Linked DNA regions of Struthio camelus. The protein of the gene in region 2 binds, or shares a complex with, the protein of the main gene of each other region. Links are inferred from orthologs where the notes say so. Each region holds a gene or a part of one and is shown on either strand. Other genes may lie near its edges.

Region 1 (7,899 bases), on a different chromosome or scaffold from region 2:
GGTATGGTGAACCATAATCTCTCATTTAGCTTTGTCACTCTAGTGAAGGGGCTGTCAGAAAGCTTCAAAGACAACAATGAACATAATAGAACAGGTCAGAGAGGAATGAGTCAGAGACTTTTACTGCTTGAGGAATCTTGATATTCAAGGAGATCCTCCTGCCAGCCCTCTCTCTCCCAGTCTGCAGCATTGATCTATCACTTCAGAAACGTATCCCACTAATCCATCTTTGGCCCTGAAGTCACGGCATATTCCACAGTCCTAAAGGGTAGATCTTCAAGATACTTGGACCCAAGCTACATTCTGCTACTGAGCTGACTGAACAGCAACAAAATAAAACAAAACAATGACAAAAACCCCCTGCAGGTCTTGAATGGAAGCAGGAAAGGAAGAACAGATAACATAAAAGCTTCTGAATTTTCAAATTATAACAGAAAGCCTTATTTGCAGCTCACATGTAGAACAGTATGCTTTCTCAGACGTCTGTAAAGGTGTATAGACCTGGCAGTCTTCCTGAGTAGAAGCCGAACACAAAAAATTTCCAGTAGAGAAGAAACTCTCAATACAGGGGAACCGGTGGGTTACAGCACAACCCAGGGAACCTGACTTGCAGAAACAAAGGCAAAGGCCACTGTCCCAAAAGTAAAGTTCAAGCATCCTGATAGTAGGTTACTCCCTACTACTGAACTTCTGTGGAAATCTGAGGGGAAGAGCGTATCTGGCTCCTAAGCTGGCCATTACGGATAGTAGCGAAGTTAAAGAGAAGCTAGGGGACCTCCAAGAACTACCAGATACTAGGGAGTGAAAACAAGAATACCATATAAAGTGGGACATTTGTTTTGCCTGACTATGCTCCATAAAATCAGTATATTCTCTTACTTTAAAGAGTCTTGGGAAGACATCTGTTGGCTGCCCTCGTACCACAAACAAGCGGGAACTGAGTTTCCTTAAACTGTTGTCCAGGTCTTCCAGGGACTGGAGTAGAAACCTGCAGAGAAGAAACAAGAGCAGTTCATGTCGGTCAGATTGGTTACCGCTAAAAGACAAATGAGCAGGATTTACATGGAAATCCAATTAACCTGCACCACCAATCAGTTCTCCAAACAAAAGGTAAAGGACAAGAAATGTAGAAAATAAAAGTTATTCTTCATCCCTGGTCTGTCTACTAACTGTTAAGACTTTGCAGCACCAGCCAGTCCCCAACCATTCACATGCATGTTCTGCTTAGCCAAATGAGAGAGCTCTCCAGGATTTTCTTCTTGCAGTCCCTACCCTTCCTGTGTTTTCTCTCAGAGCTGATACCCCCCCCGTCAGCGGGTCTCTCCACATGGCAGCCATACTTAGAGAACAGTTGCAAACAGAACGGCAATTTATCTTCCATCACGCAGATGAGAGCACGCTAAGATATTTATCTGCTCCCTACTAGCCCAAAGCTGTCAAAAAGCATTTAAGTACTTTATTAACAATATGTCTTCCTGATCCCACACCATGCCGTACGACTTCAAATATATCGTCTTTGCTTTCACAGTATACCAGCGTAACTCTATCTGCATCATCACTTGGCTTCCTTTGTTTTGCCCAAAACTATGAATGATGCCAGCCTTAACTGAACTTTAATCTCTGCAAGAGCATGCGGCAGTGCGTGCAAATCCAGAACCCTTCCTAAGGGAGTCTGCAACCTCTCCCTCTCCCCTACATACTGGCTCTGCAGCCTGACCTGTAAGACAGGAGTATCTGCAGTACCAACTCAAGACCATGCAAAGTTAAGAGGAAAACTAAGCTACAGTTGTCTTGCAGTCTGGGTACTTCCTCTCTGCTCAGCTGCGTTGCTCATAACGTGAATTGCAAGCTTTGTGACAGACAAAGCTCTCTCTGCACTTCCTGAAGGAGAAAGGGACTAAGGTTTCAAGGAAGCAGCACAGTAGTGAAGACCCAGAACCAGGTCTGGGTAATCAAAACAAACCACTCCCCTACCCCCCACTCAGTATTCATCTGTTAAATAGCAATACTGCCTTTCTCTCCACAGTGCTCTGGAAATTGAGCAAGCGTTGCTATTATTTAGCTCACCCATATGCTATGCGGTTAAGCGACAGGTAATTTTTCAACACGATAAATTTCTGGAAGTTAGGTAAAACACAAACACTTGCCTTTGGAGCTCAGACCTCTGAATACCAATTGCAGAATTAAAAAAAATAGCAAAACAAAGCCAAGGCTCCTCTGGGAAACAACGGAGCTCCAGTAAATATAACTAACGTATTTACCCAGCACATTTTTGCCTAACAGCCAGGGGTGCTAGCTTCTGATGCTATTTGCAAAAAGCATACACCTCCAAGAAGACACTTAAAAAATATATATATATAGACATATATACACACGCTTGCATATTTCATGACTGCAACACCAATAAGACCGCTAACTGCTTTTCCACCAGCATCGCGGAGGGAGGGAAGCAAGGACTACACGCAGCAGGGACGCGCCAAGCCTTTGGCGCGCCGCTGTGCTTCCCGCACGCGAGCCCGGCGCCAGCAGGGCAGCAGCAGGCGAAGGCCGCTTCTGCCTGCCGTGCCGTCCGCAAGGGCCCGTCGGGCGGGCAGGCCGCTTCGGGCCCCCGGCGCGTTCGGCAGCCGCGCAGCCCCGGTAACCGGAGCACAGCCCGCCGGGGGCCTGCGCGCCCCTCCCGCTGCCGGCGCGGGCGCCGCTCCCCGCCGCGCGCCCCCGTTACCGCCCGCCGGAGCTGCGGGCCCGGCCCCCCGTGTCGCGACAGGCCCGCTCACCGCCAGCGGTTGATGCCCACGGCGGAGGAGGCGGCGAACCAGGGGTCCAGGATATAGATGCAGCGCACGGCCACGGCGTCCCGCAGCGCCGCCTGCAGCGCCGGGTTGTCGTGGAGCCGCAGCCCGCGGCGGAACCAGTGCACGGAGCGGCACGGGCCGCGCGCCGCCGCCGGGACCGGGGCCGCAGCCGCCATCACTGCTGCTGCTGCTGCCGCCGCCGCCGCCGCCCCCGCCACGGGCAGGACGCGGCGGAGGGCGGGGCCGCACCGTCAAGGGGCGCCGAGGCCCCGGCGCCGCGCTCGGCCGCCCCCCAGCGGCCGCGACGCGGCAGCAACCCGGGGTTGCTGCTCCCCCCTCCCCCGGGCCGCAGTCCCCGCCGCCCCCCACCGCCGGGCGCGGTCCGTCAGCCCCCCCCGGGCAGGGGCAGCTCCTCCCCCGGCCCACCTAGCGCAGGCAGAGCCCGCCTCGGGCGCTCGGGGACGCGGAGAAGCTGCGCTGGCTTAAGCGAGTCAAGTCAGCAGCCAGCCGAGTCCAATCGAAGCCCTCCCCAGCACACACGCAGGAAGAGAGGGGTACCTTATTTGTTCCTTAACGTCTTAAGCAAATTTGACATCTGAAGCCACCCGCGCTTGCAATCTCCTTGTTCCGTTTCCTCGTTCCTTGCTCCAGGAGGCACTATTCCCTTGGCCAGGTGCTGAATAGCTCTTCAGTCAGACAGACCAAGATACCAATCCATTTTTATTCAACAGGTTTGACAATTACAAGTCAGTATTTGCATCATTTTTTTTAAAAAAAAGTCTGTTCTGATAGAAAAACCTCGAGGACCAAAAAGCCCACCCTCCACCACCAAAAAAAGAATGAGAGGAGGCATCCACCAAGGTGGTAAACGTAGTCAAGAAGTGTTGAGCAGGGACCCCTGAAACCAGAAAGAAACACGCTCAGGACAGAAATAAGTGTCCTAGCGTTTCTGTAGCAGTGGTCAGACATCACATAGGGTCCACCCAGCCATGCTACAAAGCAGTCGCACCAACTGCCCAAAATCCCTATTCATATAACCCTTTGAATTAAGGGGCCCAGAGTTTAGAAAGCTGATACAGTATACAATACAGCATGACAACTTATTACAGCATGTCATTGCTTATAAGGATTAGAAATCATGGCTTTAGAGTAGCCTCAGATGGCACTGGCACAAGACCAGATGGGGTGAAGAGTTCTGCAGGATTGCCACTGTTCAGAGGAAGCCTAAATGCAAGTTCCAATTTAAAGTGATTGTTGCAGCTGGGCAGATCTGGGGGGGGGGGGGAGGGGAAGTGGGGGGTTGGCAAAGGATTGACTGAACCAGACGTGGGGGAAAAGGAGGAAAAAAGTTACAAGGAACAAGCCAAAAGACAAACCACAAACACCAGAGGGGGATCAACAGGAGGCATGGCACAAGTCCCCCGAAACTGGCCTAATTAGTAACAACACAGTTGTCAGACACAAACCTCTCCCCTACACAGAGGGGAAAGAGGACAAATGTGAACTCTGTCCTGGGATCTCCACCCTACACAAGTTTTCCCCCCTCCTCCTTTCTAATCCTGAAATAGGAAGACACCTTGCTCCTCTTCAACAAAGGCACACCATTTAAGACAACATGCTCTCCCTCTGCAGAAGAAGGTAGAGAGGGAATTAGAAGTTTGGCCCTGCCTCTTGGACAGTTTCTTGAACTAAGAAACCTGATGTACAGAAACATAGCCACAAGAGACCTCAACAGGAAGAGATGCTGGCTCTTTGGACATGAGATTTAGAGGCACTGCTTCTGCTTAGACTTGTACAGAACTAGAAGGGAGGAAGGTTCCAGTCCTTTGCTTTAAGGTGAGTAATGGGAAGAATTACTCCTGCCAATTCTACTATAGGGGAACACTTCACTGGAGACTGTCCCCGACAGTCTGGCTACCTGCTTCTTCCTTTCATGAAGGTTCAGGATTTCATCATTTCAGACTATGTTAATTCAGTTTGCTGTCATTCTCTATCACCATATACACACAGCTCTCATCCTGTTCTTTGTCCACTGTACCTCCAACCTCCAGAGAAGCAAGTTGTCCAGATTAGGTGAACAGAAACATGCGTTTTAAAAAGAAATCACTGTAACCGATCAGTCTTTCTAAGCCATGCTTTCCCAACTCAGAGACAGGGTGAGATTCAGTGAATAAAATACAGTCCAGACAGGCCTTTGGCTCTGGTTCCTGACACAACTTCTCATACACTTCGCAGGTCAACTTCTTCCTGCTCCCAGCTCCTTTTGCATTGAAGGTTAGCTCCCCAGGCACAGAAGCAGAGGTGCAGGCTAGAGCTGCCTACACACCAGTCTCACTTTTTTCACTGCTTCTGAGAGTAGGTTCCTCTTGTACCTTCCTCATCTCCAGCCCTTTCACCCAGGTATAGGCAAATGAGCCCCCCAGAACCATCAAGTTACTCATCCACCACAGGAAGCTCTTTGTCTCCTCAAAATAGACAACAGCCAGCACTGTTTGGGCACAGGCCTTGGCTGTCCCAGAGACATTGTGGGTGAGCGGGCTAGTGAACTTGATCTGGAGTCCAGTCACATACCCAATGGCAAAGCCAAACACTCCACCCAGCGTCATCATGCCCCAAAAACTGGGGCTCCCCAACTTGTCAAAGTGGTAGAGAGTGCGGAACTCGCCCAGCAGCATCATGAGGGGGAGGAACAGGACACAAGCATTCACATTGTTGTAGAAGGTCAGGCGCCAGATGCTACCATCCACCACAGGCAGCACCTTCTTGGTGTAGATGGCATTGAGTGAGACGCACAGGCTTGCTAAGATCCCAAAGAATATACCAGCCCATGACAGAGTGCCCTCTGCTCCTTCCTGGTCAACACCCAGCCAGAAGCCACCTGCAACCAAACAAATCAGGAACAATCTGAACAACCAGTGAAGGACTCAAAACACATATGGTCAATGATTTATCATCTACCTTACACTGGAAAAGGAAAAAAACCACAACCACAAGCAGAGACAGGCTTAAGGGCTTCATCTTTCTATTATGCAAATCTACAGTGTGTCATGACTAGTGTTCTGGAAGGGTGCTTTTTGTTTGTTTGTTTTTAAGAGCACAGATGTTTTACTGCACAATCATTCAATCTTCAAGAATCTACAGCAATTAGGCAGCAGGAGTTTAGAATTATTCCAAAAAGTCACGAACTAAAGTTAAAGATATTCTTTGTGTACAGATCACTTTCAGAAGGAGATCATGTCATTTTTTTATTGACAAGGAAGTGAATGGGACACACAGGGAGCAAGAAATATTCCTCTCTTGCCACAGGGGGGTGAGGGGGAAGCAGGCCCCACAACCCACCTGGGCTTGCTGCACTGTTATAGGAAGAAAAAAAAAAAAGAGAAATCAGAAGAAGGAAAGACTGTAAAACACGTGGCTGTAACACTAAAAAGCTTTAGCAAAAAAGATCACTAGACAGAAACCGAGTGCAATGTCTTTACCATGTTGAACTTTGAAAGTCGGTGCATTCTTTAACCACCTCTGAAACAGGAACTACAGACTCTGTCTCCACAGGGCAGAGGGAGACTTCCCCTCATCCAGCTCATAAGAAAACCGTAACGGGGAGATCAGCTACTGAAGGAACACTGAAGCCAATTGCATCACTTGCAAAAAAATAAGTACCTGTTTGTCAGATAGGCCCTCCTGTTCACCCCTTCTGTGGGGAAGAGGGTCTCCTAACTCATTTTACTTCAAATCCATCTGCTTGTCTAAGCACTGGAGCAAACACATATCCACCTGGAAATGGACTAAAATAAGAAATTCACTATCCTTGGCATCTGAATGGCCATCAAGTGGAAGGTTGCTTTTGGCATTACTGATGCCTTTGGAATGGAAGACTCATAAGCCGTGCCCTTAAAGCCTACTGCCTTCAAACATCAGAAGCTCTGGTTGTGCAGTAGGCTTGACTGATTAGCTAACCCTTCATCATATGCATTCAGCCTGTCTGAAATGACAGGCTCCATTGTATGGTCACAATACTGTTTAGTTATTAAACACTATTATTGTTATCAAAGCTAATAATGCCAGAATCATTTGAAAGTAAGGAGAAAACAACCAGTCATTTTAAGGCCTCTGTGAAAAAATAATAGCACGTTAAGGTAAGTTAAACTTCAGTGGAGAAGAGCTGACAGTTGCTTAGTGCTCAAAGGGAAGGGAAAAAAACAACAGTCAGAAAAGAGTTATTTCCTCATACGGGCTGTTCCTTACATGTTCTCAACATGCAAGCAAATTGTCCACGGCAGAGCAAAGAAGAGAGCTCTAAAGTTACACTATCTCATCAGGGAGCAGCTGTGTACATGGCAGGAGACTATCAAAGGGAAGGACAGTTTTGCCTAGCTCAGTATTTAGGGGAGTCAGCTCAGTATTTAGGTCTGAGCATAAGGCCAGAACAGCACTACCAAGCCCAAGTGCCCTGCAGGATCACCACTCACTTATGGCTTTGCCTCCCACCAAGGGGTGCGGCACAACATCTGCAAATAAAGGACAGGAAGCTCTCATTAGGCCTGTGGGAGTTTAGCACTCCCTGCTTTGCAGGGATACATACCCCTGAGCGGCTGGAGACTTGAGATGCCAGTGACAACAGCCAGAGAGCAAACAGGGTTCACCCCACAAGACGAAGCAATACAACAGTGTGCTACAACCAACAGAATGAGACACCAGGACCCCAAAACCCTGTTAATCAGGCCTCGCTCCAGTCACCTGCCCAGCCTCAGGGGAAACCCTGCTCCAGCTCTCCGAGGCCGCAGCACTGCTTGCATGGTGGGTCCACACCACACAGGTGCCCGCGGGGCCCCAACGCGACGCAGCCAGGTGCCCTCCCGGCCCTGCTCACCTATAATGGCACCGCAGGCCAGCAGGGCATAGAGCGACGTGGTCTGCTTGAGGAGCAGGTAGGAGAGCAGCACGTTGAAGACGGTGGTGAGCGAGCGCCCCACGTTGTAGAAGGCCACGCCGACGTACTTGAGGCAGAGGTTGTTGGAGGTGATCATGCCGATGAAGACGGCGGAGAGGGGCAGGACACTGCGGGACACCTTGGGGTCGAGGCGGAGGGCGGGCAGGCCGGGGCAGC
Region 2 (7,678 bases):
AGGCAGGAATGAGGATGCACTTCTCTGTTCAGCATTTCCTACTAGCTATCTTATGCAAGTCTAATGATGTGTATTAGCTGCCACAAATTTCATTTAAAGTGCCAAAATCTACAGTGCTGTGTAGTGTAGGCTGACATCAATAGGTCCTGGCCCTTGACCCAAACCAAACTGGGCCCTTCCATGCTGTTTTGTTTTGGCTTTAGTGCTCATGAAGCTGTGAGAGGATCCAACTGAAAACGTCTTCCCCTACTCCCTTTTCTTTCGTGGGATGTTTTCAGTCAAATGAGTTCCCCAGTCTGGCTGACAGCACAGTTGCATAATCTCTAGTTTTAACCTAGTGGAGGTGGCAGAGTTATTCCACTTGGTGGATGTAGTGTCTTTGATCACTTTAGATAGACTTTGAAAGCACAAACTAATGCTTGCAAAAAGTTGTACAAGAAGCTTAGATACCTTTTTTTAGCAGTGTGGATTCAATTTCAGTAGCAAGGTAGATACCTTGCTTTCTTCAGCCTTCTATGAGGCTCACTGCAGACAACGCTTTATTAGTACACACTAAACAGCAGGATCCTGGACCTGGAGTGCCGAGAGCTGTATTCCGCTACTGAATTCATGTACGAGACTTGGGGATCAGCACATATAGTTACACTGATGATATACATCCCTTCCATTTGTATCATTCCAGTCAGTCTAAAACAGAACAACTCAGTGCTCTTCCCTTTGCCAATTTTTTTTAAGACACCTGAAACTGAAATTACACTGAAGTTGTCAATAGAAGATGAATCTAATAAAAATAACTAGAAAACTATTAAAAATGAGGGCATAATGAAAAACTACATTTCCCAGAACTCACTAGGAAAGGTCTTCTGGCCAGGGCCAACTACCCTTGCCTTTGCAAAGGACTAGCACGTCTCAGAAACTTGCTGCTCAAGTTCGAGGTCTTTATCATGCTTATGTTACTTTATCTTCCAATTAAAGAGTTTCCAAGACTGTATAGATATTACTCTTTTTCTGCTTGTTATACTTTATTCCTACACTTTACAATGCTTTTAGAAAAAAAACTATCCATAGCTTCACTGGTAATGAGGAAAGTATTTTCTTTCTTCCCTCATCCTTTAGCTTTATAGACAGTAACAGTGATGCCTTTTGTTCATTAGCAAAAGAAGCCTTTCCGGATCTCTGCAACAATCAATGAATATCAGCATCAACTGTAAATGGTGAGTAATTAGCCAGGCTTAGGAAATGAAGAATTAGAGGTGGGCTCCAGCTGCAAAATATTGATTTTTTTTTTTTTTTCCAACAGTATAGAGTTCCATCAATGCTGTGATATAATTCATTATGGGTAATGGCTGCAAGTGGTCAAATGGATAAGGAAATATAGTTACTCGAATAGATGAGTCCTATTTCCCTAAGTGGTAACCAAACGTAAGCAAACAATCCTTAGATAGTTTTCAAAAAGTCTCAAATTCTTTCTTTTGACGTTGAAGGACTTTATTATATTTTTGTCAAAAAATAATGCTGATACTTTCAATATGTTGCCACTTATCCAAGTGGATTGAAATGCTTTTATTAAGCAAAAATTCTAAATTTAACTATGGTGCAAAAAGCCCCAGCATTTTGGGGGAGGGGGGGCGGGGAGGGGGAAAGAAAATTCTGATAATATTGGGAAGTACTAGAGTGTCACAAAAAGAGCTCTTTAAATGATTTTTTTTTAAAGTAAAATCTTTAGAGTTAAAAAAAAAAAAAAAGCCTAGTTGTACCAATTCATCTTTTGGAATATCAGAAAGTTACTTTACTGAAAAAAGGCAAGATAAGGAAGCGATTCAGTAGCATTTGCAAAAGTAGATATTAAAGTTGTGCAACTTGGGCAATGCAGTTGTGCAGGTAAAGAAAATGGCAAGGCCCAAACCTACCTGCTTATGCATGGACCCTGCTTAGGAAGGCTCACTGTCTTCCATGCTGTTTCACACAAGCAGACATTTGCCTTGTGAAACCACATGTGGCCCCAGGTAGAATTTAAAGCAGCATACAGTAAAGGACAATGCCACATCTCCTCAAAGAAAAGCTGCTTTGGGTAGATGTTAGTGTGAGATGTGGTATGTTACATGGTGAAATGGATGTAGGAAAGGGATATATAAATGGATGCATAAAAAGGACATGCCTTATATCTGAACTATTTCAACATGCTCCAAGAGATACAACTGGATACAAAAGAATAAATAAAGCTGGAAAGGAATCCACAAACATTTTAATGCATTTTGTAATACTCCATTGTGTCTGTGCGCACACAAAATGTTATTCACCCTGCTAGTAAAACCCTTGTTATAGCTACTAGATACACTACATATAGCTACGTATAGCTACACTAGAAAGAGCAAGCCTTAAAACCAAAACAAACTGCTTCTCTACTAACTTTGTCCTGCTCTATTTTGCAATCACTTTCTTTTGCGTTGTTTCTTAGCAGAAGAATCATTGTGTCAGTAGACACAATGCAGTAGATTCACTGCACTAGAGGTCATGTCGCTGACTTGTTATGTTATACTGGTATTGTTTGGAATAACTTGTATTTTTATATGATTGCAACTTCTAGAAAACTGGCACAACACAAAAATTTTGACTGAACAGGTTAAAGATGCACAATCATATTTTGAGTATCAGTGTTTTCTCCAGTTATTAATATAACTCAATAAAAAAAGCTGCAAACAATAAGAAGTGGCAGGAATAGAACTTGAAAATGATTCCCTGTAAGTATATAGCTTGACCAAAATACTTTTGTTAATATCCTGTTAATATAAAGGGGACTCACGTAATGTGGGAATTACTAGGGTATGAAAAAGACACTAGCTTTTTCTGGTGATGGTGATTACTGTTTACCTGCTAGAACTAGCACGCTCCGCTACAGTGATGAATGTTTGTTCGGCGGACTCACAGAGCTGTGGTGCAGTGCGAGAGTTGCTTCCAGCTCCTCGTTTGTGCCTTCTGACGAGGGTGGGTTCAAACTTTCACCTCAGTTGAAGCGCCTTGTGAAGCTGAACCTGTGGTTAGAGGTATGCCCTTAGCACACAAAATTAAGTATTTCTGGCCTATGAGGCAAAAAACATTCATCTTTTCAGTCCCATGGAACCCAAAGAACGTCATTCTACGTTCCTCCAAACCACGAGGACTTAACACACAAGATGGAAGTAGTTTTGGACGTACAGTGCTGCAACAGCAGTAAGTTCACCACACTACACAGAGAATATCTAATTAGGATTAGTCTCTAAATTAGACTCTTCAGAGGAGCGTAAACTAAAAATGGGATCCTGCTAAGCTGACTTGTGCATTGCAACAAATCCAGTTGCAGGAACTGGTCCTAATGCTTCCGCCTCCCCCACTCCCTCCCCTCTCCAGGAGATAAATACTGCAACAGTATCTTACTCATAGGCTGTTTCTGTAACAGCCGTCACTTAAATATCTATGTACCTAATGGACTTAGCCCTAACGCCACAGTGAGGGAGGGAAGCAGCATTAACCTCATTTTGCAGATAAACAGTGGAGGCCCTGATGGCTCTCTGCTGTCTTACATCTTATGGAGTAATCGCACGCGTGCCAAGTGAGTGTAAAAATGCTGTTGCACCAGATTGCAGTATTCACAGAGAGACTGACAGACCTTTGGCGTGCCCTCTGCACCTTTCATAGTATGACTATGAGGACAAAGGAGGTTTAGGAGATGGCTAAATTATCATTGATTTCTCAGCTACTGATTGCTCCACTCAGCCTGGGAAGACATGGGGCCTAGAACAGTGCCAGTGAACTATTCAACAGCAGGTAAGCTCGCTGTTGAACTGCGGCAATACAAGTCTCGCGTTCTCTGTCACTACCGCTTAGGATGGCATAGGGGCCTGCGCAAAGAAAAAAAAAATAGCGTGACGAATGTCATAAGAAATCAACTTTCTTCTTCTTCTTCTCCTAGTAAGACTGAAAACGCCAATATTCTGCGTGTCTGGTCCGAACCGAAGGCAAAAAGACTTAATTTTCTGGACTAAATATAAACATCGGCTGTGGAATGGGAGCTAGCCAACCACCCGGCGAGCAGGCCGTCAGGGCCTCGCTCTCCACAAACGAGCAGGGCCCACCTGTTAACGGCCCACAACAACTTCTACCCTAACGATTTCTGTGGCCGCTCCAACCGACGCTGAGCCGACGGCCCTGGCGAGAGGCGCCGCGCTTTGCCTGGTGACCGGGCAAGGCTTCCGCCGGCTCGGTTTCGAAACCGCAGGGCGTGAGGCGGCCCAGCCGGGAAACCGGACCCCGGCCGCTCCTCGCTTATGTAAGCGAGAGCCCAGCGCCTCCCGCCGGCCCGGCCTCGCTGAAGGCTCCGGCTGCCGCCCGCCAGGCCGCTCCGCAACGCTGCTTCCGGCTCTCTGCCGGCGGGGCCGGGGGCGCCCGCGGCGGCAGCCGGCCGCTGTTTGGGGACTGTGTACGGCGCTCCCCGGCAACGCGCCCCGCCCCGCCCCGAGCGCGGCCGTTGGTGACGGAGCCGAGCTCGCGCGCGCGGCCGGCGGCCAACGGTCCGTGCGCGGCGCGGGGCCGCGCGCTGACGTCACGGGCGGCTGCGAGGGGCGGGGCGGCGCCTCCTCCCCCCAGGCGTGATGTAACCTGTGCCCTGCTCGGCGGGCGGCAGCCGCGCGGTCCGGCGGCCGTTGAGCAGCGCGCGGGCGGAGCGGAGCGGAGCGGCAGGAGGCGGCGAGGCGCCCGGCGGTGGTAGCGGCGGTGAGCGCTCCGCGGCGGCGGCGGGGACGCATCCGGGGCGGGGGGAGGGGCGGGCGGGCTGGCTGGGCCAGACGATCGCGGCTGCCGGTGGAAACATGGTGTCACACGTGAGGCTTATGTAAAATGAGCGGCGTCCGGCGCGGCCAATCAGCGAGGCTGGCGCGCCGCCCCCGCCCCCTTCCCCGGGTGCCGTCACGCGGCGACGGCCAATAGCCGGCCGGGCGGGGCGGGCTCTCCGGCCTCAGTCACGTTTCAGCCTGTATGAAGTCGGTGCCGGGCTGCGCCGGGCCGGGTGGACGCGGGGCGCTCGGTGAGTCGGGCTCCCTCGCCGCGCCCCGGCCGGGGCCGGCGGGCCGGGGGAGGGGGGTCCCGCGGCGGTGGCGGCGGGGAGGAGGGGAGGGGGCGTCGGCGTGAGGACGGGGACGGGGGCTCGCCTCCCCTCCCCCTCCCGCCGGGCTGGCGTTACGTAAGTCCCCGCGGTTCTCCGGTTGCCCGGGGAGACGGGCCGGGCCGGGCCGGGGGCTCCCGGCGGGAGCGGGGCGGCGCGGCGCGGTGGGTCCCCGCCTGCCGCTCTCCTCGGGGCTCGCGGGCCGAGGGGAGGGGGTGGCCGTGACCCCCCCCCCCACCTCCCCGGACGATCCCCTCAGGCGGCGGGCGCGAGGGGCGGCCGGGACGCCGCCCCCTGCGGGCGGGCGGGGGTGCCCGGAGGCGGTGTCCCGCCCTCTCCTCCCCCCTTTCCCCCCCCCCGGCCGGCGGCGGCGCCGCCCGCCCGGGACCGGCCCCCACCGGGCTCCGCTGTGGCGTCGCCGGCGCGCGCGGAGCGTGGGGTGGGAGCCGGGACAGGCTCGGCCCGGTGGGCGTTCGCCGCCCCTCGGCACTCCGTCGCTTGCCTCTCGACGAAGCAGCGCCCTGTGCAGTTGCCTCGGTGGTCTTTTGTTTATTTTTTCCCCCCCTACCTGAGGAGCTATACGGCAGTAGCAGAAACGGAGTGTGCTCTTGAAACGTATGGAATAAGCAACTGGTACCGTGTGTATGTGGTTGGCTTTTTTTTTTTTTTTTTCCTCCAAATGTTCCCTATAATACCTGCAAGCAGACTTTGTTCCTTGAGACCGTGTGGTTTGCTACTGTTGACATTAGTTGCATGCTATTACATGCATGATTGCAAAACAGTTTATGTAAGTACAGTTTCATGCAAACAGATGAGCTGTATGATAACTGTCAAGCTGACGCTACTCAACTGACTTTGTGATGGGTTAGGATGGGGTGCATCATTATTCTTCTTGCCCCAAGAGCTTAAAAAGCCCCCCAAAGAGGTCATTATGAGGTCTTTGGTACTTGGAAACTGAAGGCCTTTGAAACTGTATTCCTGTGATTCCCAATAACTTGTCTGATACAGCGCATAGGATGGATTTTGAAGAAATGTGTTGGTTTTTTTAAGGCTATGAGATGCCTGCCTTTTTTTTTCTTTTTTATAAGACTCTGAGGTTTGCGATCTTGTACATCTGACTTGCTGAATATCTACCATTTAAAAATATTTATGAATAATGGGGAAATGGTGGAAATCTTGTAATGACTCTGGCAGTAAAGTTGTCTGGTCAAGTCAAGAGTAGTACCAGAAACTGCTTTAGTACAGTGAGAAGCTGTTTCAAATTGCCAGTATTGTTTTAAGCACAGAGATTGTTTATGGATGACAGAAGTTAGTTAACATTTCTCAAAACTACAGATACCTTTTGGAGCTGGCTTTTGCTTGTTGCCAAAGTAATATCCAAAAGGAACCGCTAAGGTAGCAGTGAGGCATATCTACTTAAATGCAAATAGTTAGTTTGGAATATGTAGTGGTGATGATAAAACTGAAGCACCTCAGACTCATGGCAACCGAGGATTTGATCCTGTCGCCCTAGTCCAGAAACCGATACTATTTTGTATTAGATGGCTTTTGGGCATTGACTTTGATGAAACTCATCTTCTGTCATCTTCTAGGGTGCCTCAGTGTCTGTATGCGTCTGTGATCCGTGTCCACTATGCCTTGGGCATAGTGCTGTTTGTACACTTTATGGAGTGGCTCTTGAATACAAAGAGTAGGGCCCAGAATTTGACTCAGGTCAGGGAGAAGGGCCCACATTATTGCTCTGTGACATCAACTTCCATCTTGCTTCTGTTTGTGTGTGTTTGCATGCTCTTGTGATCTTTTTTTGCCTGTTCTTGCAGAAACTGGTACTATTTCTGCGCAGTGAGGACATTTTACTGGAGAACTGGACAGTGTCCTCCATTCATCCAAGGTTTGCTGTTAGCCTGGTGGTTATGACACTGTCCTGAGGTGTGGGGTTCTTGTTCTTGACTGTTGCTGGACTGAGGGAGGCAGTTTATCCTCCTAGAAAGAGATAATGCAAAAGATGGAGCCTTTGGCCCAGAGTGAAAGAAAAAAAAAGTCATGTTTCTGTCTCTTTTTTTTTTTTTTTTTTTTTTGACTATTTCATGCAAGTGTCTACTTCAAGGTAGAAGGGAGAATGCTTTGGATCTGACCATAGGGAAGTTAGAGAAGGGCAACTAAAATGATCAACGGTTGAAGCCATGCGAGAAGAAATTGAAAAGGTATTTTGAGAGGAGACGGCTGAGGATGTACGTGACTGAGATTTACAAAAGTCACAAAGGCAGTTTTTAAGCTGAGTTGCAAAAACTGTCGTTCACCCAATTCAGCAGTATTAGAACTAAGGGCGCTCAGTTTAACTAAGTACTGCATGAAATGGATAGAAGGAAGTACTACTTCACACAGCAGGTGGTGAACTGCTAGAGCTTATTGTCACAGGAGTGTATGGAGCCAGATGATACCAGCAGGTTCGAAAAGAGAATAGACAAGTTTATGGACTACAGTAAACGGGCACTAAAGGGAGTAGGCAGGGATGAACCCCATAACATCTCTAATGTAACA

What was found.
Region 1: the proteins of PER2 (region 2) and CRY2 are in contact, whole or in part, in a crystal structure (PDB 4U8H), measured with the Mus musculus proteins. The link is inferred for Struthio camelus from reciprocal best matches to the Homo sapiens genes PER2 and CRY2. Residues at the interface, in NP_035196.2 of Mus musculus: Tyr1132, Leu1134, Gln1135, Asp1136, Pro1137, Trp1139, Leu1140, Met1142, Ala1143, Asn1144, Thr1145, Ile1149, Met1150, Met1151, Thr1152, Tyr1153, Gln1154, Leu1155, Arg1158, Asp1159, Leu1160, Val1163, Leu1164, Asp1167, Gln1168, Lys1170, Leu1171, Leu1174, Gln1175, Ser1177; in NP_034093.1 of Mus musculus: Trp58, Ser63, Ser64, Val65, Lys163, Leu166, Thr167, Lys169, Arg170, Glu215, Leu216, Gly217, Phe218, Asn330, Pro331, Ile332, Cys333, Ile334, Gln335, Ile336, Pro337, Asp339, Asn341, Pro342, Glu343, Leu345, Ala346, Lys347, Ala349, Glu350.

Annotation. Positions count from the first base shown.
Region 1 is NC_090946.1:40,414,424-40,422,322, forward strand, and holds the start of CRY2 (cryptochrome-2), read right to left. Parts: upstream 3,026-7,899; 5' UTR 2,969-3,025; coding exon 2,775-2,968; intron 989-2,774; coding exon 880-988; intron 1-879. Other genes in the region: SLC35C1 (GDP-fucose transporter 1), read right to left, coding at 5,111-5,670, 7,663-7,899. UniProt on the Homo sapiens protein: Transcriptional repressor which forms a core component of the circadian clock.
Region 2 is NC_090950.1:9,392,284-9,399,961, reverse strand, and holds the start of PER2 (period circadian protein homolog 2), read left to right. Parts: upstream 1-4,621; 5' UTR 4,622-4,749; intron 4,750-4,968; exon of another isoform or gene 4,969-5,059; intron 5,060-7,678. UniProt on the Homo sapiens protein: Transcriptional repressor which forms a core component of the circadian clock.